Linked DNA regions of Schizosaccharomyces pombe. The gene in region 1 interacts genetically with each later gene. Each region holds a gene or a part of one and is shown in the gene's direction. Other genes may lie near its edges.

What was found.
Region 2: mutations in tom70 (region 1) and dip1 together harm fitness more than expected from each alone (negative genetic interaction), as found in Schizosaccharomyces pombe (one large-scale study listed by BioGRID).
Region 3: mutations in tom70 (region 1) and SPOM_SPAC29A4.02C together harm fitness less than expected from each alone (positive genetic interaction), as found in Schizosaccharomyces pombe (one large-scale study listed by BioGRID).
Region 4: mutations in tom70 (region 1) and sno1 together harm fitness less than expected from each alone (positive genetic interaction), as found in Schizosaccharomyces pombe (one large-scale study listed by BioGRID).

What each region holds. Positions count from the first base shown.
Region 1 is NC_003424.3:2,429,853-2,437,813, forward strand, and holds tom70 (TOM complex subunit Tom70), read left to right. Parts: upstream 1-3,527; 5' UTR 3,528-3,539; coding exon 3,540-5,417; 3' UTR 5,418-5,771; downstream 5,772-7,961. Other genes in the region: DNA primase catalytic subunit Spp1, read right to left, coding at 1-607, 692-765; drc1 (DNA replication preinitiation complex assembly protein), read left to right, coding at 1,146-1,275, 1,332-1,964, 2,005-2,255; SPOM_SPAC6B12.13 (protein phosphatase inhibitor), read left to right, coding at 6,197-6,389, 6,615-6,736; SPOM_SPAC6B12.14C (uncharacterized protein), read right to left, coding at 7,147-7,611.
Region 2 is NC_003423.3:2,337,231-2,345,049, reverse strand, and holds dip1 (endocytosis protein Dip1), read left to right. Parts: upstream 1-1,879; 5' UTR 1,880-1,899; coding exon 1,900-1,954; intron 1,955-2,049; coding exon 2,050-2,139; intron 2,140-2,259; coding exon 2,260-3,239; 3' UTR 3,240-3,648; downstream 3,649-7,819. Other genes in the region: msh2 (DNA mismatch repair protein), read left to right, coding at 1-593; cwf14 (G10 protein), read right to left, coding at 792-820, 865-1,244, 1,315-1,346; coa6 (cytochrome c oxidase subunit VIb related protein), read right to left, coding at 3,962-4,054, 4,201-4,380; SPOM_SPBC24C6.09C (phosphoketolase family protein), read left to right, coding at 7,311-7,819.
Region 3 is NC_003424.3:5,139,926-5,147,773, forward strand, and holds SPOM_SPAC29A4.02C (translation elongation factor EF-1 gamma subunit), read left to right. Parts: upstream 1-3,877; 5' UTR 3,878-3,892; coding exon 3,893-4,109; intron 4,110-4,207; exon of another isoform or gene 4,208-4,281; intron 4,282-4,402; coding exon 4,403-5,415; 3' UTR 5,416-5,590; downstream 5,591-7,848. Other genes in the region: pseudouridylate synthase Cbf5, read left to right, coding at 482-1,906; aif1 (flavoprotein), read left to right, coding at 6,348-7,848. UniProt on the Schizosaccharomyces pombe protein: Probably plays a role in anchoring the complex to other cellular components.
Region 4 is NC_003424.3:955,666-962,728, reverse strand, and holds sno1 (glutamine aminotransferase subunit), read left to right. Parts: upstream 1-4,083; 5' UTR 4,084-4,378; coding exon 4,379-5,083; 3' UTR 5,084-5,362; downstream 5,363-7,063. Other genes in the region: two-component GAP Byr4, read left to right, coding at 1-292; poly(A)site selection protein Seb1, read right to left, coding at 616-2,121, 2,312-2,668; eIF2 alpha kinase Hri2, read left to right, coding at 6,255-6,369, 6,457-6,495, 6,545-7,063.

The sequences.
Region 1 (7,961 bases):
GTTATTAATAAGTCGTACGCCACCTTGAGGATTACCTACTACAACCTGTAAATAACTGGCAATCATTCTACGAGACCGATCGTCTAAAGAACAAGCAATTTCGTCACAAATCCAAGCGTGAATACCTCTTCGACCAGAGTATACCCACAATATGTGTTTAAATCCAAAGTCCTCATGAAAACAAATATCTAAAACTTGAACTGCGATCGTAATAAATGGCCAGCATTTTTCGCATATATTTGTTTTTGAGCAGCAGGTTCGTACATCATCGTAGTCAGTCATATCTATATCAAAAACGAGTTCCTTTTTAAGCGGATGAAATGTTGACTTCCTTATTGTTTTCCTGTCCCTGGGATTGGCACTATAAACGGGTCCAACTTCAAATCGGCTTGGGCATAAATTTAAAGCTTCCTTTTTTAACTCTTCCCAATTTGAAAAAGATAAATAACGAATATAAGCATCATTAGGAAGTGTGAACGCGAACTCCCGATGAGCAAAATCATTAGTGACTACCGGACCATGATTTAACCATTGAAATAAATATTTCCACGGAAAAAGATGGCGATAATATTGAATCATCGTCTCTGAATCCACAGCTCCCTGTTTACTATAAGAAAATTGTTAGAGAATTTTCATTATTTTAGAGGCTCAATCGAGTCCATAGTTAAGATTGTTCAGTATTCACACTTACGCGCCATCAAGTGTTCCGTTTGCAATTATCTCATCCAAATCTTTGTCGTCCAATTCATCGATTTGAACAGTCATATTGTAATAAGTTTAGCTAAAAACAAAGGTTATTTACATACAGCTCAACCATAAATCAAAAGGAAACGACAGCGTACTTAAACGTTATACGTTATTTAAATTTAAAAAACTGCTTAACGTATGCGTAAACATTCAGCAGTAAAATGGAGCATTCATTAGTGCATCTACTTTACTTTTAAAGCATAATTAACATTTCAACTTTGCATTTCGAGATACGTATCAAACTCTGTGCAATGGTATTTCTCCACATATAGAATTAGAAGAAATATATGTTTATGTAGATTAGCCTCTCTTTTTGTTTTGAGTTTGTTTTTGCAGTTGTTTGAATCGAACACTACAAAATTGAAATTGGGTCCAGGCAGTGCATTAATTGGCAAATCATGCACGATGAATCACGAACTAAACAAATATCTAGTATAAAAGCGCTCTTAAAGAAGTGGGAACATGAGTACGTCCATACGAACAATTGCAAACCTTCTAAGGAGGATGTGAAGAAACAACCAGAAATAGGTATGTAAGCCAAAGATACACTTGAATTTTTGAAGCAAACTAACGAACTTTTTTAGCGCTTTTATATAAGCAATACTACGAGTTGAAACGCGAATCCTCCATTACCCCTAAAAAAGCAAAAACAAAGGTCGACTTTAAGTTTCAAACTCCTACAAAACAGCGTGCTGAAACTGAAGCGAACGAGAGTCCTAAAGCGCCCCGAAATGATTATCTACAGGTTACTCCGAAAACTGTGGATAAAAGTCTTTTAGGTCCTACTCCACAGTTGTCACGTCGAGTACTTAACCTTCTTGAAGACATGTCTCCCATTGCAGATTCTCATGTGGATCAAATTTCGGATATAAAACATAACACTAGTGAAATTTCATCAACTATGATACCGACTACTCCATCAAAAAATCCCGAACCTGTGGCTCAACATACTCCCACCGTTCTTGAAACCCCCTCTTCATATCGCCTTCAAGTTTATACATCTCCTAACTTACTTCGAGTTAATGCGCCATGCCGAAAAAGTCTCAGTGAAATGCTTCGTGAGTTAAAAGATATTGAAGATGATTACGGATCAAATGAAGAGAAGATATTGCAGGAGTTTGAAAGCTTTAGTAGCTCATCTTCAGAAAGCCTTGTAGATAGAGACATATCACAACCTATGAAGAAAAAAATTAAACGACAAAATCGTCTTGTTAAATGTAAGGTTTTCTCCTGTTTGTACCTGAACTAACGTTTTAGTGCCCCCTTCAATGAATCTTTCCAAAAGTCATTTAGAAGGTCTTCCTGAAATAGACGAAGATGCGGAAAATGGCATTGACGACAATGAAGATACAACTGCTAGCAAAGATTCGTCACCATTTTTAGATCTGCAGAGTGAACGACAAAATAAAAAGATTATGAGAAACGGGCTTGTTATTGGAAAACAAGTAAGCCAGAATTATTCCTCTTACAAATTAAAAAAACGTAAATTTCGGCGTCACAGAAGCTAACATATAATTTGTCAATCGGAACTTTGCTGTTGTATTTAAAAAAACACATACTTTCTGATCTTCCTTAATAGGATATACACTTTTTCAATGAATGTTAAAGAGGTATATATATTTAATAAATCATGCATTCAATAAAACCTGGAAATAGATTTTGTGGGTTTTTGAGATTTAAATGAAATAATACATCATGAGTTTGTGGTATCCTGTTAAAAAAATTTTGGAAATATAAAAGTTTGAATGAATCATATATTTCTTGTTCTTAATCTTCGGGTAAAATCAAATTAGTTACTATCGAACGATAAACGTTTTATATTTTTACGTAGGCATTCGTCCAACATTAAATCTAAGACTGGAACGTTTTGATATACGAATATCATGAGGACGTAAGGAAAGAAGAAGTACAAAAAAAATCGAACCTTCAATATTGAAGCTGGCGAGAAAGACAAATAAAAAAACAGCTTCAAATAAGTTTGGATCTATTGAAATGAGGAATACATGAAAGCTGAATATCATCATTACTTTACATGGATTTGCATAGCTTATTCATCCTTAGGGGACAGCGATGCCAAATTTCCTCTTAACTAAATTTTTAGACAACCTAAACACCATACGTTGATGCTAAACTTCAAAACATGAATAGTCATTTCCAAATGTCATTTACAACTTAAGAAACCATGCTTTAAATAATAGATAGCTTATAAGATACAGGCAACAACTGTAATAGATTTTGGTCGCAACTCTTCAATTGTATTCAAAACATAGTTCAACCTACAATCAAGTTAACAAATCTTTTTAAAGACAAATAAAAGGGCTCTAGATAATCAGAATCCAAAAGAAGTGCATTGTGTAATTAACAAATACAGTCAATACGTTTCATTGTTTAAGGTAAACTTCTTTACTACGCTCTCTATATATTGTATTTTATACGGGGATAACATCAGCTCTTGTAGCTCAGTGGTAGAGCGCTTGCCTAGTAAGCAAGAGGCCCAGTGTTCAAGTCACTGCTGGAGCAGTTTTTTTTAAATTCCTACTTGATGCGGAATTGAGTAGAATTAATAAAACTAGCACCTGTGCAAATTATCACCATTTCATAATAATAGCTCCTATTAAACTGCTGTTCACCGTTTCTTTTTTTGTTTTCTATCACTTCGTAATCAAGTTTTAGTTCCTTAACCTTTGTCAATGAATGTGCTTTGCAGTTCGTTAGCAATGCAATAAGGTAGCATTCACTTTGCTGAAGTATAGTGGTCATGAATCGGTACCAACCTAGCCAAAACCAATACCATGTCTGGTATATCCAATGCAGAAAATGGTAAGGCAATTGTGTCTTCTGGAGTTTTAAATTCCGTTTCAGCATTTGTAAGGCGCCATAGGACATTTGTTTACACTATTGGTGCTGTTGCCGTTTTTGCTACAGTTGGGGGTGTTTATCATGTACAACAGAAAAAAGCTAGTCATAAACGTTCTAAAAAACTTAAGGCTCATCAAGATAAGGCTGAATCCAAAGTTAATGAAGGAAAAAATGAAGCTGCAAAGGTCGTAAAAGAAGAGGATCTTAAAAGCTCAGAAACTGGAAAGGATGTTGAAACAGCAGCCGCTGCTGCTGCTGCTGCAAAAAAGAAGAAGAAGAATAAAAAAAAGGTTAAAGCCAAGAAGGTCGGCGATTCTTCTGTCGATAAAATTGCTACTGAGGAATCGGTAAAATCTATGACGAAGGAGGAAAGGGCAAAATTGGCTGCCGAGTTAAAGACTCTTGGTAATAAGGCTTATGGACAAAAGGAATATGCTAATGCTATTGACTATTATACTCAGGCTATCACCTGCTCTCATGACCCTATTTTCTTCTCTAATCGTGCAGCCTGTTATGCAGCCATCGGTGATTTTGAGCAAGTAATTAAGGATACAAGTGAAGCTCTTTCACTTGATTCAAGCTATGTGAAAGCGTTAAATCGTCGTTCTGCTGCTTATGAGCAACTTGGTAAATTGGATGAAGCCCTTATGGATAGTACCGTTTCCTGCATTTTCGATGGCTTCGCTAATGAGAGTATGACTGCTACCGTTGAACGATTGTTAAAAAAGGTTGCTGAAAAGAAGTCGTCTGCTCTTTTAAAGGAACGTCCTCCTAAATTGCCAGCTGCCAGCTTTATCCAGACTTATCTCGATTCATTCCATGCTCAACCAAAACCTTTGTTTGATAATAAATTTGACGGTGATGCTGCTTTAGCAGAGGCTTATGAATATTTAGAAAAGGGTGAATATCAACTTTCGTACGATAAAGCAAAGGAATCCTGTCTGGGATCTTTCTCATCTCCTTCGGTTAATGCTCGCACTCATAATCTAGTTGGTACTTTTAAATTTGTATCTGGTGACTCTAAAGGTTCGATGGAAAATTTTAATGCAGCTATTAAATTAGATCGCAAGTTCATTCAACCATATATTCGTCTCTCAGCCGCTTATTTAGATGAAAATGATAATGAAAAAATGTGGAAGGTACTGAATGATGCAGAATCTGTTGATAAAACCGATTCGGATCTTTATTATCATCGTGCACAAGTTAGGTTTGTTTCTGGTGAGTTTGCAGAAGCCATTTCTGATTATCAAAAGTCTATTGCATTGGATGACTCTTTTATTTATAGCCATATCCAACTTGGAGTAGCTCAATATAAGACTCATGCAATTGCGGAATCAATGAAGACATTTGAAGATTGTAAAAAGAGGTTCCCTAATTCAAGCGAAGTTTATAATTACTTTGGTGAAATACTCTTAGATCAACAAAAGTTCGATGATGCTGTCAAGAACTTTGATCATGCAATTGAGCTTGAGAAGAGAGAACATCTAACAATTATGAGTGCAATGCCTTTGATTAATAAGGCTCTTGCTGTATTCCAATGGAAGAAAGATATATCTCAAGCTGAAAATCTTTGTCGACAGGCTCTATCGGCTGATCCCGAATGTGATATTGCAATTGCCAGTATGGCTCAATTCCTATTGCAACAAGGTAAAGCTCGTGAAGCCCTTGAATATTTCGAGAAATCTGCACAACTGGCTCGTACTGAAAGTGAAATGGTGAATGCGTTTTCATATGCTGAGGCTACTCGTACGCAAATTGCCTTGACTGAAAAGTACCCACAGTTGGTTGGTCGTTTAAGCAATCCTATGTAAACGAGATTGTATATGAGAATTACTGTTAGTCAAAATAAGCAGTTGGCGAAAACATTTTGAATGCTTTAAAAAGGTTCCAATTTTAATGTGGCTCGGAAATTTTTTGTTTGGATGACAGCAAGTGCTGAAAATCCTTAAACCAAACGAAGTTTTGTATACGGAACATGTTTGCTAATGTATTCTGGTTGACGGATTTTTGATTTTAACTTGATTCTTAGGGTTAGCAATAATGATATTTTGTTCGCTACTCCCTAAAATGTGAACTTATTATTTCTTTGTACTTCATGTTTAGTAGGTAGTGTATTTATTAACGACAGCAATAGCAATGAAATATTATACCCATTGAGATTCAACCATTACAGAATGTTATCATAATTTAGGACTCTAATTTAATATAAAATGGTAGGTGTCTATTAATTCTCTTTACCAAATAAGTTGAAATAGGCAGCTGAAGGTTTTTAGGAAAACAATATTTGGTTTCGTCATCAAGGGAGATGTAACCTAAGGGAGATATAACGCAGTAACGATTTCTCACAATCTTATATAGTGAAGAAAAAGGAATAGAAGAATATCCTATTAGAGAATAGCAAGCATCTTGAAGTGCACACCACTCTTCGCCATCGTCTTTCAAACAACAGAGGAATTTTATAATAATTACACTAAAATTGTTTTTCTTGAAGCAATTGCTTGAGAGGAAGAGTTGGTTAACGAAACTGAAGGTTCACTTATAAAACAGTGAACTTCGTGTTTTATCACTCAACGTAATCTTGACAATTCCCATGGAACTCACAAGACCGTTAGGTGATATCTCCTCATCAGCTACAGTTACCATTGAAAGTACGGAGGAATCCGCGTCAATAAGCCATGAAGAATCTGAGAATGTGCTCCATTTACAACCGGAACCAGTCAGAAGAGTTAGATGGACGGTAAGCACTGTAGATAATGAGCATATGAATAAAAAGAAATCGAAAGGTAAGTGAAGTTCTGGTGATTTTACGAAGAAGAGAATAGGCCTTGTTCCATCCTTTGGCAACAAGCACAACTTTCAGACTTATATTGATTTTAAAAATTGGACAGTATGAGTCTATTTATACATATCTACATTCTTTATCTTTGATTTATCAAAGCACTAGAGGCTTGATACACGAACATAGAAAATTAAAGGATTTAACATGATGTGATGCTAAATATTACTAGTGTGCTGTATCTTTCACAAACAGAGAAAGTTTGATGAAAGTTCATCCGATTCAGATAGTGATTCGGACTCGGATTCCTCTTGTTCCTCATGTTGCAGTCGCAATGCATATGAACGCGCTTAGGTTGTTCGTTGAGTCCCCTATATTGAAAATGAGATATAAGTCATATGTCTTAAGTATTTTTCTTAATATGCCAAAAACCCAATTCCAACATTACTTTTGAAACTTAAAATACGTTTTGAAAAGGAATCTCGATGGCTTTAGCAGTCATACCTTTGTAAAGGTTTTGAAAAATCCCACAATAAATGATAGCAGCTTTTATGCTTTTCAACGTTAGCCAGATACTCATCTTTTTCTTTTTAATGAACTTTACATCAAATGTATGAAAAGTGTCAAAGAAAAGTGCGGGACTTTTGATAAAAAAGAGACTGTTTGATATACTCGTAGATTCTGAAATAAATTATAATGCAAAACAGACATAGGTGCTTTTTTTAATTAGTTGGACATATCGGTAGTACAATAAGAATAACTTATCACCTTCGTCCACGTTTCATCCAGCTAGAATTCAAGTCGTAAACTCTGCGTTTATGTGGGGTAGCAATGTTCATTTCCTCGTCATCCTCATCCAAGACTGGGCGACCGGCGCGTACAGTTCTATTGCATACAATATGAGGCTGTAGTTGTGTATCTTCATTTCTTAAGACAGAATTGTCGTGATGGTTGTGAACGGAGGAATCGTTATCGCTAGAAGCGAGCTTCTCGAGGCAATACTGTGAAATAAAGTCAATACTGGCACCTGATTCAATAAGTTCAAGAACCTCCCGAAGAGCCTGATTGTACCCAGCTTTTTGTGCTTTTAAAACTTCAGTAGTAGACGCTTGATATAATTGAGTAACGCTCAAAGCTGCCTGCTTAAAATGAGATAAAACATTTTCATATCCTGATGATGTAGACAGATCATTTGACTGAGAAGGAGAGAAGTTTAAATTTGTATCCATTTCATTTTCAATATAATAAAAAATTATTAGTTGGTGTTTCTTTGTTAATTTTCATTAATCTCTTTTCGCTTCACATTTTAACGTATTATAGCCGTAGCTCACAAAAAAGAATAAAGTGTCAGTAATACTACACTACGCTATGATACACTACGTTGCGTATCACTATATGTCATATGTTGGAATACTAGCTAAGATCCGTTTATTGATAATCACGGGTAACTATCCGTCTATATACATAGATACCCGTTGATAACAACTATTTAGAAATATTATAAATAGCGTTACAACTGAACCTCGTTCCTCAGTTCAGTTATGAGCTATATTAGTGATAGGTAACATTATAACCCAGT
Region 2 (7,819 bases), on another chromosome or scaffold:
CGATTTTGAGAGCTGCCACACCGCGATCCTTAATCATCATTGATGAATTAGGACGAGGGACTAGCACAACCGATGGTTTTGGATTAGCGTGGGCTATTACAGAACACATCGTGACTCAAATCGGTTGCTTTTGCCTTTTCGCAACACATTATCATGAAATGACCAAACTATCAGAAGAAATCACTACTGTCAAAAATTTGCATGTTACAGCCTATGTAGGTGATTCAGAATCGAAGGATGTAGCTTTACTCTATAATGTTTGTGAAGGAGCTAGTGATCGGAGTTTTGGAATCCATGTTGCTAAACTTGCGCACTTCCCTCCCAAGATTATTGAAATGGCAAGCAACAAAGCCGCAGAATTAGAAGCTGAAGACTCTGGAGCCCAAGGGGATACTCAAGAAGTGAAATCTAAAAAAGAAGGTATGGCAATTGTACGTGATATAATGAGACAATGGCGTAGCAACGTCAAACCAGAAATGACTCAGCAACAAATGATGGACCAATTTCAAAAAGTCATCGGCTCATTCGCACAGCAAATCAATTCCAACAACTGGCTACAATCCAGGGTATCCACAAATGAGGTTTCCTCATGAAGAATGTGAGCAAGGTACTAATTGAAAGAATTCAACCAAGGTACATGTTTTTTGGAAGCGCATTTTATGAATAAAATAATTTTTTACTAAAACGAGGAAAAGCCATAGATCAATGAATTTTATAACCCAAAACTGTTTCATTTGCCATAATAACCAAATAAAAAGATATAAATGGGAAACGAACCACTAGTTTTCCAATTAATCACAGCTTGCACAACCATTACAACCTATTTTCATTAGCAACTGGTAGCAATAGCACTTCTTTACTTACCACAATGAGTACATCTCACACGTTGATCTTTATCAAGTTTTGATTTAGGTACACGACATATACACGTTGAACCAAATTTTGACTCAGCGGTTTGAATACAGCGCAGACAACAAAGTTTCTCGTATCCTGGTTTTTTCCATTTGGCGATTAAATTTCCATCGGCATAATTTTGTTTTAGCAGCCAGTTGTAAAGTTCGGTAGATATGGCTTCCCGTTTGTAGTATAAATCGTATATATAACGACTGCGCTGATGATGAAGTTGAAAAATCGGTGCTAGCATTTCCGTCTTAGTTCCCTTTCCCATTGTATTCTCAATTTGACGCATACGATCTTGGAATTCAATAAGGGTGGGTTCTATTTCATCAAATCCGTCAGGAGGGCTATAGCTAATTAGAATCTTACTTCGTAGGTAAAAATAAAGGTAACAAGGAAAATACTTGGTATACATACCGCTTGGTTCTTGACGTTCGAAGACGAGGCATGATAACAGAATATTTTTTAAGCAAACTACGACTTTTCTTCAATAAACCAACACAGAATAAGGAATGCTTGCTTTAAAGAGATTAAATATAAAGAAACCGATAAAATGAAATCTAGTGATGGGTAGTTTTTATCCTTTTACTTATTTGGTGGTAGTGTACTTATGGGCAAGTTGGATTTGTGAGAATCCAGTGTAAATTCCTTGTAAAATAGACTGCCGCGATTGAAACTGTTGCAAGATATTCTTAACTATAGAAACTAAGTTTTTTCTCCGTTAATTAAATTATAGCCTCTTCAATTGAGGATAATTGAGAATTTTTGAATTTGTGTCTCCACTATATTTTATACCTTAACATATGGCCAAAAGGGAACCAGATGCATTTGTATACTATAATACTACAATACTGTTTTCATGGTATAACATTGACGCTCTGTTGTGTTGACTACTAATCATATATTAAAGTTGATTATCGATGGATATTAGCGAGAATTTTGTCTATTGAATACTAGGCTCGATAATGAGAAAGCGGCAATTAAACCTTCCCTAACCTCCACATGGAGTTCACGGATGTGTTTTATAATTTAGAGAATGAAAAGCAATTTTTGGCGGGTATGCAATTTATTCATAATTGTAAACTTGAATGTGCCTGGGATTCATTATCCTGGCTAAATAGTATTCCCGTTGACGCTAACATTTGGTGACAGAAATTGACGAACTTTTAACTATACCATACGAAAAAAATGAACTGGAAATTGGTGTTTCAAAGTTTCTTTCTTTTATCAACAAATATGGAGGTAATGTTTTGGAGAATTGGGGAAGCACAATTTTCCGTGTTTTTCCTATGGATGAAATACAAAGAAATTGAGTGTTTGTCTCTTTATAGAACATCTTATCTAACAAAATAAATTCAATAGAACCGTACCTAATTACAGAATTCCAATTGCAGAGATGTATGGAAAAGTTCCTCAATAGTCCGCTTTATCAACTAGACGAAAACGCCGTTTTAAGTATTTTCTATGATTGCTTTTTTTTCTTGAAAGAACAACAAACTTTGAAATTCATAATCATTGTCTTTCAATCCGAAATTCAAGAGAATGAGTACTGCTTGCGTTTGTTGGCTTCTACGGGGTTCATTCCCGTCTTGATCAAGGCAATGAAACAGTTCAAGGATCGTTCAGAAAATGTTGCTTTTACATCTTTTCGTTATGCTTTATTCTTAGTGTACTATATTTGTCGCTCGAGACGACTTTCACCGACCGACTTAGTCGCAATTGATGAATATTTTTTAGTAAACCTATTCAAAACGTCGGAAGAAGCTTGGAATGATGAGGACATGGACAGTTTTGGAATGTGCGTCTTGACATTGCTTAGCATCAATGAACAGTTTATGCTTGTTCGGCTTGCTTCCAAAGGTTCGTTTGAAATCGCAAATGGCATAATGGATTTGCTGAGCTCTTCCAAAGTGGATAACGGTATCTACAGTGAAGGCCTAGTTTTCACTCTAAATCGAGAAAAGGATCCACGCTCTCGAATGTTAATACTAAAACAACTATTCCTTCTTTTTACAACTCCCGCTACGTATGAGATATTCTATACCAATGATCTCAATGTCCTAATTGATATATTCATACGCGAAATAAACAATATTCCCGATGAGCTTTCGGATCTTCGGTATGCATATTTGCAAGTTTTGATTCCTTTGCTTGAAAATACACAGGTGCGCCATCCACCTCATTACAAAACTAAGTGTATAGTCGACGCGGTCAATAATGTCTTAATTTCTCACTCAAAAAGCAGCAACATGGAAGATGCACGTACTACAGATGTTGCCATACGTGTTTTAGAAGTACCGTGGCTTCAACAAGAGATGAAGTCATTAGGAACCGCTCAATAATTTTTATTCTACTACTGAAAAACTTTTTATTTTTTTAAAGCACCTCACTCGTTTCCTTCATTTATTGTCAGATCAACCAAAAAGAATTGCAAATTTTAACCAATCTCCTTTCCACTCTTTTTTTTAATACTTTCTCTCTCCTTTTGCCAGTCTGTTGTTTTTTGAAAAGCCAGTTTTGGCGTATTACTTCTTGCAGAAAATTGATAAAACTTGGAGAAATTTCTTTGGAATGCAAAGAAAATGCTAAAAGTTTAAACACTGCAATTTTCATATCAATGAATAGAAAATCTCTAGTTAGACATATCCATTGCAAAAGAAGAAGTGAAGAAAATTTTTAAATAACAAACGTGAAGAATGGCATAAACTAATATAGGAATGCTTAATTAATAATACCCCTATCAATCATCTAACATTTTCTGTAACTTTCGGTGATCGTAAATGTGCAAGTTAGACAACGTAATTTAGATTCATCGTCGTCTTTGAAAAAATAGGTGATTATTCGTAAACACAAAACTTTCTTTTGAAAGGGTTCAGTTAAAAATTTCACCATCAAAAATGAAAGAACAGAGTAAACAGAGGAAGGGCAGGAAAAAAAAAATACCGCTTTGTTTGATTTGCCAAAGTTGAAGATGAGTAATAAGTACTTAAGCATAAAAATGAAAACATATTAGGATGGGGGAAACCTAGATGCAATGAGATTGTATGAGAGTATTCAGGAACAGCTAATTCAACTTTTTTGCGCCTTGAGCCTCGAGTTTTTTGATAGCTTCTTGTTGCTGATGCTGTTGAACTCGAAACTTTAGAAAGTAATTGACCTAATCCAGAAAAACAATGTTAGTGAGAAAGAAAAAAAGAAGTAATGGAGATCTTTAAGGTAATAATTCAAGAGAATTGCAAAATCGGAATTTCTCGTTTCATTTCATACCAGCCAGATTTCATTTACAATTTTGGCGATTCATACCCAAGATTTTACGCAATCAGTTTCGAAAGCGGTTTTTTCAGCGGAACAAGCCTGGGCTGCTTTTGTATCATCTTTCAATCCATCCAAAATGGAATGCCTATCCAAACAACCAAAGTAAGCATCTCTGGCTTCCCAGCATTTTTCTCGAGCACTTCTTCGTAATGCGCCGTTACCAGCCATGAGTTCGTAACAAAGCTTGAATAATAAATTTCAACAAGGCCGTTTGGTGATGAGTTTTACGAATAATAGTTAAAATGTACCAATCGAGTAATCTAACGGATTAGTTTCCAACCAAAAATGAAAATCCTGGTTGTAAAGGGGGGAAGAACTAAAAAAAAAAGGAAAAATTGAATGGAAAGATTTACTTGAAACCAATAAAAACGATCATTTAACGGTTACAAGAATGGTTTGCTGCTTGCACACTCCTACCAGCGATTGTTTTCCTAAAGAGTGGCTGCTTGCTTTACATATGACAGCATTGCCGTATGTGACATCTAAATGATTGCTAACTGTAATAATGAAAAGCAACATGATTTGCAAAAACCGTTAGTGTGTCAGCAATTCTACACTACGCTATAATATAGTACGTTGCGTATCACTATATGTCATATGTTGGAATACTAGCTAAGATCCGTTTATTGATAATCACGGGTAACTATCTGTCTATACACATACTCGCTGATAACAACTATTTAGAAATATTATAAATAGAGTTCCAACTGAACCTCGTTCCTCAGTTTAGTTATAAGCTATATCAGTGATAGGTAACATCATAACCTAGTTAATACAATACCTATATCCAGTTGCTACTTATACAACCTGTGTATTGTAATATAATAGATCACAAGGAAAACTCACCGCAGCTCTACGTATCCTTAAACAAATACCAAACTGCGTAGCTGATATAGTGGATTGACGTTTTCATTTCGCTATCCTTAGCAATCACCTACGCTGACTATTCGGTAAACATGGGAGCAAGTAGGTAAATTCAAGAGATGAAATGATGAGAGATAAACCAATGCATCGCAAACCATGCAATGACACAGTTTTGAACCTTTACGGAGTGTAAAGTTTCTGAAAATTGAAAAGAGTAATCCGAAGGGGACGAACCTAAAAATTTTACAGTTTAGGAAGCGAATTGTTGCATTGTTGGAAGTAGAGAAAGGATAAGGAAGGTAAGAAGAAGAGAAAAAGAAAAAACATCGTTCATTGTAGAGAGAAGTTTGAAGGTTATTTTTTTATAATGTGAATTTAATTTATTTTATTTTAATTTTATTTTGTTCTTATTTTTTTTTTATTTAATTTGTTCTTACTTATTTTCTCTTACTAATTTTTTTCCATATGATGACTGCATGAACGTGTTTTCAAACAAATCAGCTTTTATTAAAACAAAGCAAAGAAAAGTAATGATTATTTTAATTATCTATTTAAAGATATCTATTTATTTACATATACATACAATCTAATACGAAATGCATCCAAAACAATTCTTCCCATTCATATTTCTTTAACCTTCAATAACCGTAACCCCATAACCCTAACCTCGTTTTCTTCTATACTTTTAGCCAAACAAATCGCAAATCATCTGACATTGGCACATTTCTCTACATTCTCAGCTCCTTCTTTTCTTTACATCTTCATGACAATTGTTTCACCCGTCTGTTCTTCTTCTTCATCGTCTACTGCTCTCGCATTGCCTTTTCTCTTGTCCTTCCTTCCTTTCTTCCTCCAGCTACACAGCGCTGCGCTGCCACGTGAAGATGCGAAATTGAAAATTTCAAAAAAGGGCCCGTGCTGGCATCTGACATAATCGAAATCCAACGTCCTTTCTTACCTTTTCCAACCTTCATAGCACATCGATCGGTCTTGAGCGAATTCAGTCGATTTCAGCACTTTGCGTCACCATGAGCTCAGTTGCTAAAATGGATCATAGTGCTCTTTTAGGGTGTCCAGTTTTCGGTTACAATGGCATTTAGTGCAAATCAACGTTGCCTGCCAAGTATTATGCAGTGCGGTATTGTTATGTAATATAGTATAATACAGTACATTATAATGCTCTATAGCATGGCGAGAAGAAATCAATGGTTACAAGGTAAAGAAAGAGTCAAATAAATAGCAATGGACAATAGACTCACAAGGAACATCACAGGTAAGTAAGTGTAGAAAAGGGAGGGTTTCAAGGAAAAGTAACTTTTTATGAAATCAAATCAATAAATGTTTACATATTTATAAGAATTCACCTTTTTGGCATTGTTATTCTCCATTTTCGCTATCCATTTCTTCAATGTTCGCTTCATGACTAACAGTTTTTTTTTTTTTTTCTCTCTTTCTTTGACTCATAAATGTTTTCTTTCATAATTTTTTTTTCTTATTTCTTTTTTTTACTTAATCTCGTTCACTTCGTGATACATCTTGCGTTCACTCCTACTTTACGCAATCGACCCTTTTACGTAAGATCGGATACGTGGTTTAATGAAAACAAGGATGATGATGTGTTTGTGAAGTGTTGAAACTAGTTTATGATCATGATAAGTTATTTGCAACTGTTAATGGAATGATACAGAAATTAATATATATATGCGTGTGTGTCCTCGCGATCCATGTGCTACGACGCTTGCTTTTTTTGATAAATAGAATCATCAACTCAAGTTTGGTTACGAACAAAAGGAAAGGAAAGGAAATTAAATCGGAATTGAATTATTATAAAAATAAAATAAAATAAAATAAAGGATAATTTAGAATTAATTAACAAAGTATTATTTTATTTGGTGAGAATTCTATTTTTCTTTTATTTTTTTGAATTTCATTCCACTCCTATTCATTGATTAATAATTGCCCTTCTATTCTTCTTTTTACATCACCATATCTTCTTATTCCTTATTTATTTTTTATTTACTTTTGGTTTATTATTGTTACGACTTTCCTCATTTGTACTAGGTAAAACTTGATTTCCTAGTTTACTAGCATTCCTCCTTCCTATATACTCTGTGTGTATGTGTGCTTATTTCACGAATATTTATCATTTACGACTTGACGAATTTCCATTTATTCACAAACTGTTTCAAACTCCGTTTAATTGATTTTAGATTATAAAAACATTCCTCTTCAATATGGCTACTCAAAACGATATCCCTAACTCGACTCCCGAGGATTTAGCGAAACAAGTTGAAATTGCCGAAAAACACCCCGATCCTCCTGCTATGCCCTCGCGTCTTCCTGACTCTTTAAAAACCCTCGAAGCTAAAATCGACACTTCAAAGATTACCGACGAAGAGGTTGCCAATGTCCATCGTTTTCAACGTGCATGTGATTACCTCGCAGCTTCCCTGATTTTCCTTTCCAACGGTCTCTACACCGGCGGTGACCTCGAGGAAAAAGATATCAAAACTAGACTGCTAGGCCATTGGGGTACTTGTCCCGGCTTGAGCATCGTTTACTCTCACTGTAATCGTATCATTAATAAATATGATCTCAACATGCTCTTTGTCGTAGGCCCTGGCCATGGTGCTCCTGCCATTTTATCGGCTCTTTTCCTTGAAGATTCTTTGGGCCCCTTTTACCCTCGATACCAATTTACCAAGGAAGGCTTGAACAACCTTATTAACACCTTCTCCCTTCC
Region 3 (7,848 bases), 2.7 Mb from region 1:
GTTAGCATTTATTTTATTTTTTTCTAAATTTCTGAGTTTTCTTACTTTTGTTGTCTATAATGATCAAAACACAAGGTTTGAGTTAATATACTAATATTTTTCTTTTACCAATTTATACATTGTAATAAGATAGGTTGTAAGATTTAAAGCGAGCTTTTGATTTCAATTGAATACAAATTCGCCAAGCCGTTATAAATTTACATTTAAAGAAAACAGTTACATGGATTACTATCAATGAAATAGTAAAAAATACTCGATTGGAAAACTTGGCCTTTTGGAAAGCAATTTAATGCATTTTTTAATACATTTGCAAATAAGGATCAATAGCAAAATATAACGAATTTTAAAGATGCATAAGTATTCATCGCTAACTTTTGGTAGTCACGATAACTACTGGCGAAACAATTTTCTGACGCCCGCCAATATCGCTGGATCGAGGATTGTTCATTCACCTGCGTTCTGCGATTGTATTATTGAAAAAATGACGGACACTCATCCAGGAGTTGATTTTATGATCAAGCCTGAGGCTACTTCTGCTTCTAAAATTGATACCGCTGAGTGGCCATTGCTCTTGAAAAACTTTGACAAGTTGCTCGTTCGTACTGGTCATTATACACCTATTCCCTGTGGTAATAACCCTTTGAAACGTCCAATTGCGGAATATGTTTCTTCAGGTGTCATCAATTTAGACAAACCGGCTAATCCATCTTCTCATGAGGTTGTTGCCTGGGTTAAAAAAATTCTTCGTGTTGAAAAAACTGGTCACAGTGGAACTTTGGATCCCAAAGTTACCGGATGTTTGATCATTTGCAATGACAGAGCCACCCGTTTGGTCAAATCTCAGCAGAGTGCCGGTAAAGAGTACGTTTGCGTTTTACGTCTTCACGACTCAGTTGAGGGTGAGCGTAATGTTGCTTCTGCCATCGAGACTCTTACCGGTGCTTTGTTTCAGCGTCCTCCTTTAATTTCAGCTGTCAAGCGTCAGTTGCGTATTCGTAGTATCTATGAATCCAAGTTGATTGAGTTTGACAATGAGAGAAACCTTGCCGTTTTTTGGGCTAGCTGTGAAGCAGGTACTTACATGCGTACTCTTTGCGTACATCTCGGTCTTCTTCTTGGTGTTGGAGGCCATATGCAAGAACTTCGTCGTGTTCGTTCTGGTTGCCTTTCGGAAAATGATGATATTGTCACCATGCACGATGTCTTAGATGCTCAATGGATTTATGATAACACTCGTGATGAATCTTATTTACGTCGTGTTATCCGTCCATTGGAATCTCTCCTCGTAGGCTATAAGAGAATTGTGGTAAAGGATAGTGCCGTCAATGCCATTTGCTATGGTGCAAAACTTATGATACCTGGTTTACTTCGTTACGAAGCTGGTATTGAAGTTAACGAAGAGATTGTCCTTATTACTACCAAGGGTGAAGCTATCGCTGTGGGTATTGCACAAATGTCTACCGTCGAGCTTTCGACTTGTGATCATGGTGTTGTTGCCAAGGTTAAGCGTTGTATTATGGAGAGAGATGTGTATCCTAGACGTTGGGGTTTGGGCCCTCAAAGTATGAAAAAGAAAACTTTGAAGAAAGAAGGAAAACTTGATAAATACGGACGTCCTAATGAAAACACACCCGCGGATTGGTCTAAATCTTATATTGACTACTCTGATCCTAATGCAGAGGTTGCAAAGCCTGCTCCAGTTGTTGCGCCTGCAGCACCTACTGTTGAAGCTGAAGTCAATGGAGTCGAAGACAGCAAGAAGCGCAAATCGGTAGAATCATCTGAGAAGGATGAGGATGAAGCTGCTAAGAAAGAGGAAAAACGGCGGAAAAAGGAAGCTAAGAAGGAGAAGAAGGAAAAGAAGGAGAAAAAAGAAAAAAAGGAGAAGAAGAAGAAGTCTGAGTAAAATGCCCTAAATATCGTTCGTTTCTTCTACTGAATTTGGTCATTTTACAGTTTGGGTTTGTTATAAAGGGTTTTAAGCACAAAATCCCTTATTCCGAGATCCTATAAGTTTTTGAGATACCGTTTGAGGGTTAAGAAAGAAAGCGAAGTTTCAACCTTTTGCTTTTTTGACTTGTTGTTTTGGATATTAGCTTGTGAAAACTTAAATAATTTATCGCTATAGCCCTAATGACAATTACAATGCACATCCGCAGTTTCCTTAGAATTAAGCATGATTGTTTGATATTTAGCAATTCACTTTGTTTCCGATAGAAAGCGCATTGTCTTCGGCATTTGGATAATAATATTATCTTTTCTTTGAAAAGAATATGTTTATACTGTTTTCCTTTTAGTATTTTAGTATGTATATATTTGATCAAATTAATGTACTTAGATTGGTAATATGTGTATCTGAGCTTATTCCTCGTTATAGTATGTTAGGTACGAAGGCACTATAATGCCACACAGATTCTCGTGGACGACCATCTCGAAGCCATTGGATTTGGCTAAGTTCAGCTATTCCGTTGATCGTTTGCAATGTTTAGGTCACTGGCAAAGTTAAGATGCTTTGCCAGTTCGTTGGGATTATCTTCGCATAAAAATATCAAAAGTGTACCGTTGATTCGAAATATCCATTATATTCCTGATAATCCCTCTTATTTTACGCAAAACGCTAGGTTTAATGAAATCTATTTGCATTTGGAAAACATCCTTAAGTTTGCACCTAAAATCATAGCTGCTGAGGAAGACGTTCCGAAGTAAAGTGGAAAACGTTAGAGCAGTATCAAAAAGAGTTTTCTGATCCCAAAACAACTAAAGTTGGCTATCGAAAAATTACTCGTTTACTTAATGAATTAAACGAAATTGTTCCTGAGTATCGTACTGAAGCAGTGCAAAAAGCGCTTGAGAAGTTTATTCGCCCAGACATTGTCGTGAAAACCACATTAAAAAGCCAAATGCTTGATGAAAATGGAATGAGTATTACCAAAGGAAAAAGGAAATCGAGCAAAGCTACTGTAAAGATGCTTCCGGGAACCGGAAAATTTTATGTGAATGGGAGTCCATTTGATGTCTACTTTCAAAGAATGGTTCATCGAAAACACGCTGTTTATCCACTTGCGGCCTGCAATCGCTTAACAAATTACAATGTTTGGGCTACAGTCCATGGAGGCGGCCCAACTGGACAGTCTGGTGCTGTTCACGCTGCTATCTCGAAGTCTCTCATACTTCAAGAGCCTTCGTTGAAGCAGGTCATTAAAGACACGCACTGTGTTTTGAATGACAAACGGAAAGTCGAACGTAAGAAAACAGGTCAACCTAAAGCAAGGAAGAAATACACATGGGTCAAGCGTTAATTTATCTTTGTTTTTACAGATGTACGAATTAATCTATCTTTTTTATACAAAAGTTACACTTATCTGTCAGTCATTTCAAAAGTTCAGCATAAAATCTGATATTCTTATATAAGAATGCAAGTTATACGAGTTTCGGTCATTTCGTCTTCTACTACACAGCGAGGAAAAAACTTATGAGTTACTACTCTAATGTCATTAATACAATTTTTTTACAACTTTTTACAGTATATTTCAGAATAATGTTGATCTACCCTTTGCCATGAAATTTTGTATATGCACGCTTCTTCAAGCATTAGATCTGGATTAAACATATAAAATCTCAAAACAGAACCTGCTAACCAGAATAATTAAGGAAAGAATTTTAAGGTGACACAATGCATTTCTGATTTCTTCTAGTCGTTTCATTGAAAAGTAGAGCCCCTTTTTCATATTTATTTATGTATTGTTCTTATTTACTTTTCTAGTGTTTAGTTTGTTAACCAGAACAATCGGGTTGCCAGGACAACAACATTTTTTGTCCAATTTGAGCTCGTTATTTGTACATAAAATTTCAGGCCCTTTACAATTCTTTCTCTCCCAACATCTTAGTAGCTATGTCTGTAGGAACCGTTTACGGAAAAATTGGCTCTCCTCGCGTCCTTTTCTGTGTCAGCGTTGCCGCAGTCGCAGGTGTCGAGGTCGAACATGTTGATGTTCAACCTCACAACTTCCCTGCTGATCTCGCTGCGAAGTTCCCTTTGCAAAAGATGCCCGTCTTTGTTGGAAAGGATGGATTCCCTTTGTCTGAGACCCTTGCCATCGCTTTTTACTGTAAGTAGCAAAATCCTGTAAACTCCATGTTGACGATAATATCGTATGGTGCTTCGAACTTCTTCAGAGAGTAGTCAATGTTACGGTACTTTGTAACTTTGTATGATGATACTATTTTTTTTTACAGTTATCCCTGTCTAAAGCATAGTGTTGAGAATGGTAAATCTGAATAATCTTGTTAATATGAAGAAAGGAAAAAGCCCACGATATTAATTTATCCAAATAGATTTTTTGAATAACGAAATAATTTCTTTTGTTGATCATTGACCTGTTTTACTAATTGTCAATTTTAGTGGCATCTCTCAACAAGACTCGTGCTTTGAACGGTACTACTGCCGAAGAGAAGGCTAAAGTCCTCCAATACTGTTCTTTTACCAACAGTGAGCTCCCTGGCGCCTTTCGCCCTATAATTGCTCCCCGTGTCTTTGGCGCTCCCTATGATGAGCAAGCTGCTAAGGAAGCTGAAACTGCCATTGCTTTGATTTTCGCCCGTTTTGATGAGGAATTGGCTTCTAAGACCTACTTGGTTGGTTCTCGTCTTACTTTGGCTGATATCTTCTTTACATGCTTCTTGAAGTTCGGTGCTACCTACGTTCTTACCAAGTCTTATTTGGCCAAGTACACCCATATTTATCGTTATTACCAAACCATATACCACCAAGCTAAGTTGGATGCCATTACTGAACCTCTTAAATTTATTGACCAACCTCTTCCTATTATAAAGGCTGAGAATAAGGAGGCTGCTCCTGCTAAGAAGGCCGAAAAGAAGAAGGATGAGAAGAAGAAGAATGCTCCCAAACCTCAAGCCGAGGCTCCCGCTAAGCCCCCCAAGCACCCCCTTGCTTCTGCTCCTAATGGATCTTTTGACATCGAAGAGTACAAGCGTGTCTACAGTAACCAAGACACTCGTAGTGGAGCTCTTCCTTGGTTCTTTGAGCACTTTGATCCCGAGAACTACTCCGTTTGGAAGGTTGATTACAGCTACCCCGAAGATTTGAAGCAACCAGTCTTCATGACCAACAATCTTATTGGTGGTTTCTTCCAACGTTTAGAAGCTTCTCGTAAGTACATCTTTGGATGCTGCGTAGTTATTGGCGAGAACGGTGACAACACCATTACTGGTGCTTTTGTCATTAAGGGACATGACTATGTTCCTGCTTTTGATGTTGCTCCAGATTGGGGATCTTATACCTTCACCAAGCTCGACATTAACAAGCCCGAGGACAAGGCTTTCATTGAAGACGCTTGGGCCTGGGACAAGCCTATTGAGGGACGTGAGGTCGCTGACGGCAAGGTCTGCAAGTAAAAATGTTTGGGTGAAATGGATAAGGTAGGTTTGTTGGGAAGGCAATCCCTATTGTTTATTGATAATTCCAAGATTGAGTTTGTTTTAGCCTTAGAAAATGATTGATTTTACATTTCAAAAAGAGTAGACATTGTGTATGTTTGCTTATTTTTTGAATTCCTCCCTTTTTTTTCAATTCTCAAATGTGTATAAGGTTTGCTATTTGTGAAAAATCGTTAGCTCGCTTTATTGTAAATAAAGTCCACGTATGTTTGACCATAGTAGTATTCGTTTCCAAAGCAGTTCTTGGAATTTTAGTAGACGGCTAGGCGATTGTTTGTACATGCATTGCAAAGTGCACCACCCATCGTCAGCAATATTTGCAGTCGTTCTTGATATTTCCAGCTAAAGCATAACTGCATCAATATATCAGTCGGTTAGATACATGTAGCGTCTACCATGCACAGAAGCAGTTGATCTGCAAATCCGACCAATATCAAGTTATGGGCTAAGTGAAAATTACAAACTCAAAGGTGAGCACAAGTGAAGCAAATGAAACCAAGCTAGTCGATGCAAGTGAAGTTCATTTCTTTTCTTTGCACAAGAATTGATTTTGCGTAAAAATAACGATCTCACTGCTACACAATGAACCTGTCTTTTTACGAAGTTTGCGGCTACAGCGTTCCAATCAGCGGTGAAATAATTCACCCAAAAAGATGCAATTTTTAGCGTAGTGATTGAATATGAGAAATCGACGTTTACATCAACATGAGGTAAATAGATAGCGTAGTAGTGGTTGAGAGGGTATTTCTACGCTCGATCCTTCCTATATATTAAGCAGGACCATGTTGTTGCGATTCTTTATTAACCAACCACGATTCATACAATTCACATTTCTACGAAATAAAAAAGACAGGATTCTAGGGCTGCAATTAGGAAAACAACCGTTCAGAATGAGTAGTAGTTCAGGCTTAAAGCAGCAAGGGCTTGCACAAAAGAAGAAATTTCAGCTGGAGTTTGACCCTTCGTCTGTTTCGAAAAATGGAACGAAAACAGAAGCCAAGGTGGTTGGTACGGAATTTGGCGTATTACTAGTTCGTGCTCGAAACACCTACTTTGCGACGGCTGGAAAGTGCAGCCATTATGGTGCTCCCTTAGCCAAAGGTGTGGTTACGTCGGACGGCCATATTGTGTGTCCTTGGCACGGTGCCTGTTTCAATGCAGCAACTGGAGACGTGGAAGACACGCCTGCCATTGCTGCGTTACGTACCTTTCCTGTTACTGAGGAGGGCGATGGTAGCCTCTGGATTGAAGTGGAGGACAAGAACGACAATGGTGCCTCTGTTTTGCAACCTGAAGGCTGCTGGAGAAATAAGGCCACCGAAGTGTACAACAAGGGTAGCGTTGAGACTGAAGTGACGGCGCCTCACGTCTGTATTATCGGCGGTGGAAAGGGTGCCTCAGTTGCAGCAGAATACCTTCGCGAGAAGAACTTCAAAGGAAAGATTACCATCTTTACCCGGGAAGACGAAGTCCCCTACGATCGTCCTAAACTATCTAAATCCTTACTTCATGACATTTCCAAACTTGCTTTACGTTCTAAAGAATACTATGATGATCTTGATATATCTTTCCATTTCAACACTGACGTTACCAAGATTGATTTGGCCGAGAAAAAAATTTACTGTGGTTCAGATGAAAAGCCCACAGAGTCATATACGAAGTTGATTTTGGCTACTGGAGGCGAGCCGAACAAACTCCCTATTCCTGGCTTGGATTCGAAGAATGTATACCTGTTGCGCTCTATCGCCGATGCATCCAAACTCGCTGCCGTCACTACCGAAGCTGGTGACAAAAAGAACATTGTCATTATTGGAAGTAGCTTCATTGGTTTGGAGCTCGCAGTCGTGCTGAAAGACCATAATGTCTCGGTGATTGGAATGGAGTCGATTCCCTTTGAAAAGGTTATGGGTAAAGAAGTTGGTACTGCACTTAAAGCTTTGCACGAGCAAAATGGTATCGCCTTTTACTTGGAGAACAGCATTAAAGAGGTGAAGACTTCTTCCAATGACTCATCTAAAGCCGAACACATTGTGTTGAAAGACGGACAAAGTATACCCGCCGACGTAGTTATCTTGGCTGCTGGTGTAAAACCCAATCTTCGCTATTTGGGTAATGCCGTTTCTCTCGAAAAAGATGGTGGTGTCAAGGTCGATGAGCATTGTCGTGTTCTAGGTGCCGAAGACGTGTACGCAGTAGGAGACATTGCACATGCTCCATTTGCCGGTTTACCTTCATCAGGAGAAAAGTCGCACACACGAATTGAGCATTGGGATGTCGCCGGTAATTTGGGAAGAGTCGCGGCTGACCATATTTTGTTTGGTAACAAAGCTGGCTATACGACGAAATCATTCACCCCATACTTTTGGTCTGCCCAAGGAAAGCAACTACGCT
Region 4 (7,063 bases), 1.5 Mb from region 1:
TTCTGGTCAAGAAGCGGAAGATCCCTTTAGCGGGTTTGATGATCTTGAGGATACAGACTCCACCTCGCAGTACTTGAACGAAAATTCAGGTAGCTTTAATGGTAGCATAAACTCAATAATCAATTTTCCAGATATGAGTGAAATATACGATGTCGGCCCAGAGTTTGAAAAAAAGCAATTTAGCGAAGATATTCAATGGCGAAAGAGAATTGATGGCTGGTTTTTTTCATTTAAAAACGATGACAGGTCACGACTATGGGAGCTTTATAATATACTTAATGCCGAACAATAAACAAGGTTTTGTCTTTACCTTGCGAATGTTTATATATAATTATACGAATGCTTTTGTTTATCGCAGATTTGATCTTTTTGTACATAGCTTAATACACTTCGAAGATTTTTCATTTTGTTTGCAAATAGATGTATAAGATGTACAACAATGATACAAATGTAATACTAATGTGACACCCAGACAAACTAGATTGTTTGAACAAGACAATACAAAGAAAATAATCAATTAAATTTGGACCGAATACATTATACCCTTAAATACCGTCTGTAATATAGAAACCATTTTTGCCATCATTATAATACTTGTAAGCGTCTTTTAACACATTATTGGGGTTGCCAAGGAGGTTGTGAGACATACCCAGAAGAGTAATTAGGATCCATATATGGATAGCCGGGATTATATGGGTTGGTAGGGGGAGGAACGGTACTAGGATTACCATGCCAGTCATTTCCTGAATCAAAATGCCTTTCACCATGGTGAATGGGTGGACCTCCCCTATATGGTTTACGACCCCGGAATCGCTCATCACGACGCATAGCAAAATCTTTTCCTCTTTTACTAATTGCCTTAGAACTTATTCCTAATCCAATTTCAATATCAGGTTCATCCAAAGCGATACCAGGAGTAATCGGAAGGCCACCCGTGCCGCCATATTCTGCAGTTACAAGCCAGGTACGATCGGCATCCGTCAACAAACGGATTGGGATAACGCTGATTCCTGTGGAAAAGTCAGAGCACTCTCGAGGTCCAAATCCTACACCCCATTTAGTACGAATAGTAGTATCAGCAAAAGGGACATTTTCCATCGCTACTTGAGCTTTCTCTGCAGCATCACGACGAAACATTTTCAAGAACCCGTGTCTGTAATTATGATTTAAAATTAAACTTTGTACAGACCCAAATCGTTCAAACATAGATCGAAGAACAGGTTCTCGCACAGAACGAGTAATACCACCAAGGAAAAGAGTACGGCTGTATACCTTAATAGAATCAGGTGGAATGGTTGGGTCACGCTCAAATCGGCGAGGAAATCCATCAGGGGTAGGTTTTGGCACACCATCTGCAGGAGGCAAAGTAGAAGGAATGGATAAATGAGAAGGACTAGGGCTACGACGAGGGCGACCACTACGAGGACTAGGGCTACGAGAACGATGTAAGGAGCCGAGTCTTAAGGATTGGGAAGAGGTAGGAGCTGGCAAAGGAACACTGCCGACACCAGCCGGCTGGAATGGAGCGTTATAGTTGGGAAAAGCAGCTTTCATGATGCTATCGATTTGTGCAGGTGGTACATTCTGAGAAGCCAATACATTCATGAGAGTGATCTGTTGACTCTGGGTATCATTGACCGATCCTGTCTTCATCCCCATGGGACCAGAGGGAATAGACTGTGGTACATTTGAAGGTTGGAATAGAGGGTTTGATAATGGATTGCCTGACTGAGACTGTGCATTAATGGCGGTAGCTGGATGAACAGGTAGGTTAGGGACGACAGCAGAAACGGATGGTGCGACGGCAGGCTGCGGTGGAGTGCTAACTGATTCTTCGGCAGCACTAGGGACGGGCGCCTTTTGAGCGAAAGCAGCCAATGCCTCTAGAATAGAAGCAGCATCGTTTTCGACAGGACGAGAAGTGGGGGCGGCTGCTTGACTACCAACAGAACCACCATTCCCCTCGGGATTAGTAGACTGTGATGGAGCAGCAGCAGAATCTACACTAACCGGTTCCGTACTTGCCATTGCATCTTTCAGCTTTGAACGAAGCGATTCTAGCTTCTCGGGAGGAAATGTTGAAGCCTTCTCCCAAATATCACAAAGCTTTAATATTTTAGGCTACATGCTTAGTTAGTTACAAATTAGTCCAATAATGTTAAAAGACTTCTCAAAGAGAATGATACTGTATTACAAGGAAAAAATACCTCTCTCATACAGTGTCTCGCTGATACAGAAGCAGAGAGAGCATACGATTATCCATACGGGATCTTATCCGTAGTCAACCTTGAAAAACTTCAGCTACACATACCAAATGAGCAGATGGCGCATGCTGTATAGCATCTGCGACCAAACTATCAGTTATTTCAGCAGCTTTGCACCAGCCGCCACTAAAAGACGCATCAACGGGATTTTCAAAAGATTCATTATTCTTTTTAGCACCGTCCTGAAAGCTACGAACGATTGAGTCTAGAATATACAAAGCTCCTAATTTATGGGTGACGGGAGCACGCTTCGCATACTTATACACACTAGCAACAAATTGCGCATTCTCTGAAACATTTTCCATCGACAAGTTAGTCAATTTCAAAATTTTTGATCCCGAGATTCCTGTCTTGGAATGTTCAAGGGAATCTAAAATACCATCGAATTCAGCGATTCCCGACATATCACAAGAAAAACGACAATGAAAAAAAAAAAAAACTTTTCAAAACTAGAAAACTACCCTGTTTCCTTTATAAGAATTTTACTACTTTTTTTCTTATATTAGTTTTTTACACGTGCTTGAAAGACGTTAAAAAAGGAAGTCACCCTGTTCTTAAATACTTTTTGTGTTATGGTTACGGTTAAGTGGTGAAGTAGGTGATGCTGGTTATAAAGCTGGTATTACGGAAGGGTAAGGAAAGTGCTTAAAGAGATGCTAAAAATTTCCAAAGTTTCACACTTTGTAAAAAAAAATATATATCATATTGTTTTAAAAAATGTATGAAAATTTTTAGTGTAAAAAAAAATAATAATAATGAGTAGCGTTTTTGTTAATTTCATGCCCATGATCCTTCTGGTAACAAGTTTGTCAGCCTCGACCACAAAATTGGGACTGCGAAGTAATCTCAGGGTTCGGGTTTATTTATGAGATTTACTATATATACAGGTACTCGTGCATTTGGTTCGGTATTCTCTCTTTGCCTTTTGGCTTAGATCAAGTGTAGTATCTGTTCTTTTCAGTTTAATCGCTGAAATCACCTCACTGAGGTGTTTCCGATTAATCTTGTTTTTGGTTTGAGTTGGAAAGCCTCTGGCTTGCTATGCTTTCCGACACTGGTGTTCTTGCTATTGCACTACTGGCAAGCGACGCCGAATCTTCTTCTGTTGACAGATTTGTGACGCATGAATTTGACAACATTGGATGGTTTAGGATGTGAGGTTTGAAAATATTTAACTTCGTACATTGATAGTGTGTGGTGAAGATAATATTGTTATCGTTGAAAGTAAGCAGTTTATTTAAATTTTTTCAGTTGCTAAACCCACTGAAAGAGAGGTTGAAGACTTGCTGATGCTATGCGTATTGAACTTTTAACACAGTGGGAAAGGTAATTAAATAATTTTATCTTTAAAATTCAGTAAGTAGTTATTAGTGGTTGGGGGTTTTGAGAATAAAAGTGAGGTAAGTAGTTAATGCTGTAAGCAATTGTGAACTGTAGAGTTGTGTTGACATTAGCATTTTTTTTCATTAATGCTTGATGATATCCTAATTTGTGGATAATATAGAAAGCATTTGACTGTTTTATGGTAGTCTAGATAGTCAATTTTTAGTGAAATGACTGAAGTCAAAGCATGTGATATACTGTATCGCATTTGATTTTGTAAACTGAGTCTAGCAATGTGCAAGGTCTCCTTTGTTATGCTTATGAAGATGGGTGTACCAAATGATATTGCTTATTAAGGAGCGTAATCATTTGCGATATGATTCAAGGTTGCTCCACCAATTCTATCTTTATTGCCATCTTTGATTCTGGCGATAATTTTTCGCTTCCACATTGCCAGACTTATATAATGACCCCCGGTATGTCTGATTGGGTTATTATCCTATAGCCACCACCGCCTTAATGAACTGAGACACATTGTATACTACTTAAAGTGGATCTCTTAGTTACGTTTGATTTAATTTTTTTAAGGTATAAACATAGACAACACAATCCTTTAATACCCATCTTCAACGGTTTGAGTGATTCATTGCTGATTAGTAAGGGGTGTATCAATCTTCATCAGCATCTACTTGTTCAATAGGTTTCAGGATATCTTTCGTTTGTTTTTCTTAGTTCTTTCAAACTTTCTTTGTTTTTTTATTCGTTTCTAGTCGATTAAAAACTTTAAAAAAATGTCTTCTGCATCCATGTTCGGGAGTCTTAAAACCAATGCTGTGGACGAATCCCAGTTGAAGGCTAGAATTGGAGTTTTAGCTCTCCAAGGAGCATTTATTGAACACATTAATATAATGAATTCCATTGATGGAGTAATTTCTTTTCCTGTTAAAACTGCTAAGGATTGCGAAAATATTGATGGCTTAATTATCCCAGGAGGTGAGTCTACTACCATTGGCAAATTAATCAACATTGATGAGAAGCTTCGTGATCGTTTGGAGCACTTGGTTGATCAAGGACTTCCTATTTGGGGAACGTGTGCTGGTATGATTCTTCTGTCGAAAAAGTCTCGAGGTGGAAAGTTCCCAGATCCTTATTTGTTGCGCGCCATGGATATTGAAGTGACTCGTAATTATTTTGGACCTCAAACTATGTCTTTTACAACTGATATTACAGTTACAGAGTCAATGCAATTTGAAGCCACTGAACCTTTACATTCCTTTTCGGCCACTTTTATTCGTGCTCCAGTCGCTTCGACAATCCTGTCTGATGATATTAATGTTTTAGCTACTATTGTTCATGAAGGCAACAAAGAGATTGTTGCGGTTGAGCAAGGTCCCTTTTTAGGTACATCGTTTCACCCCGAGCTGACCGCCGATAATAGATGGCATGAATGGTGGGTAAAAGAGCGTGTTTTACCTTTAAAGGAGAAAAAGGATTAGTTTTTTAAATTCATGCCTATAGTTGCATGTTGTATAATCCCACAAAAAGAGTTGAGACAGGTAAATGCCTCACTTATTATTTTAGTCAGTCATTAAGTTTTAAATAATAAATCCTTTTAGATTAATTTTTTAGATTTTAAGTGTTAATTGTTATTTGCTTTCAATCTTTTCTAGGTTCATTTGCGCTGCATAAGTTGCTGTCATTTCCATTGCTAAAAGCATATAGTTTGAATACATTATCAGTTAATCAAATGTTTATAAAAAATGCGCATTATTTTGGGTAATATAGATACACATTCCATAGAAAATTTAACCGAAGATTAAATTTTAGTACACTGGAATTATTCAGTAAGTGATAAATCAAAAATCAAAATTAAGAAAAAATAAAAAACTCCGTTGCGGGGAGTCGAACCCCGACCGCGTCGGTGAAAGCGACGAATCCTAGCCGTTGGACCACAACGGATTCCATGTGCTCTTTACTACTTAGTATAATTTAATATAAAAATTAAAGAATTGTTTATGAATGTGAAATGATAAATTAAATTGTGTCAAATCAAAATGTTTTTTCCTCACATCATGCTGGCTAATGTAATTAAATTTAATAGTTAGCTTGAAGTGCTCGTTCTCTTCAATTTTCCTTCTTACTATCTTGAGGTAAAACTAATGAATGAATTAATAATTCAAATGATTTCTGTCCACAACATTTATCTGGTAATAAAATATATCAATTCTTTAAACAAATTGGTTTTATAAATTCAGTTTCGAGCTGGATTCTTTTTGCTTTGATTTAGATTATAAATGTATCTTTGGCTTACTGTTTACGATGCTAATTTAAAAATTGACTTGCTTTTTCACGAATGAAGAAGTTCAAAAAAGAAGACTGATTATAATTACTTATCTGAATTTTTAACAGTACAAATACATACTTATCGTTAACACGACCATAGTCAGTAGAAACCATGTATTTTAGCTGTAGAGTTAAATTCTCCTAATGTTACTTTCATGATCTGAAAAGTCAACCACAAAGTTTCCATTAACAATTCTCTAACCTTCCATTGTAAGATACGAGATTAGCTGGTTGCGATTAACGGGATTTTGACAAATATTTTGATAAGTGCAGAAAAAAACTGGTTGTTTTCTTAATGCCTTTTTCACTTCCATCATCACAAATATGCGATTTTTCAACGCTCACAAGTCAGCGGAAGATGGGAATTACTCAGAGACAACAAATGCAATAAGTTTAAAAAATGAAAGACAATCAAGGGATTTGTCTGTCAATAAACATGGTAGGAATTAATTACAACTGTGTGTATAAAGCAGTTGACGAACTAAAAATATTGGTCATTGACAACCTAAGCTAATGTATTTATTAGGGCGGATGCTTTTAACTGCTTTGTTGGAAAATTTTTGTCGTATGTCTAAGCTCTCGTTTCATGTGAACTACTTGCTTACTTATTAAAGAACTGTATGACAATAATCCTGCCAAGTCCAAACGACTTTTTGCTTTAATTTGCCATACTCTTCAAAAAATAGGTATTTTGGAAGAAGAATATATTGAAGAACTTGCAGCCGTTAGATCCAATTATCAGGATGCTTTACACCATTTGATTCTGCAAGCGCGTGAGGCAATCCGTCTCGACGATGCTGAAGAGCGACTTTTAGCACTACCCGATCCCACCAATGTATTTGAAAAATTTCCACAAGAAACTGCTCTTTCGAAATTCTCTGTAGATGGATTAAATGTAAGACAGTTCCGATTCCGTGATCTTACGCTTGAGAGTTGGTTACAGTCAAGAAACTCTCGTTACATAGAGGACTTTGAGGAGTATTCTTTACTAGGAAGAGGTGGATTTGGATCAGTATATCACGTACGAAATAAGATTGACGGTGCTGAATACGCAATGAAGAAAATTAATTCAACATTTCAGCAAATGTCTTATTCCAAAATATTTAGAGAAATCAAATGTCTAGCAAAAATGG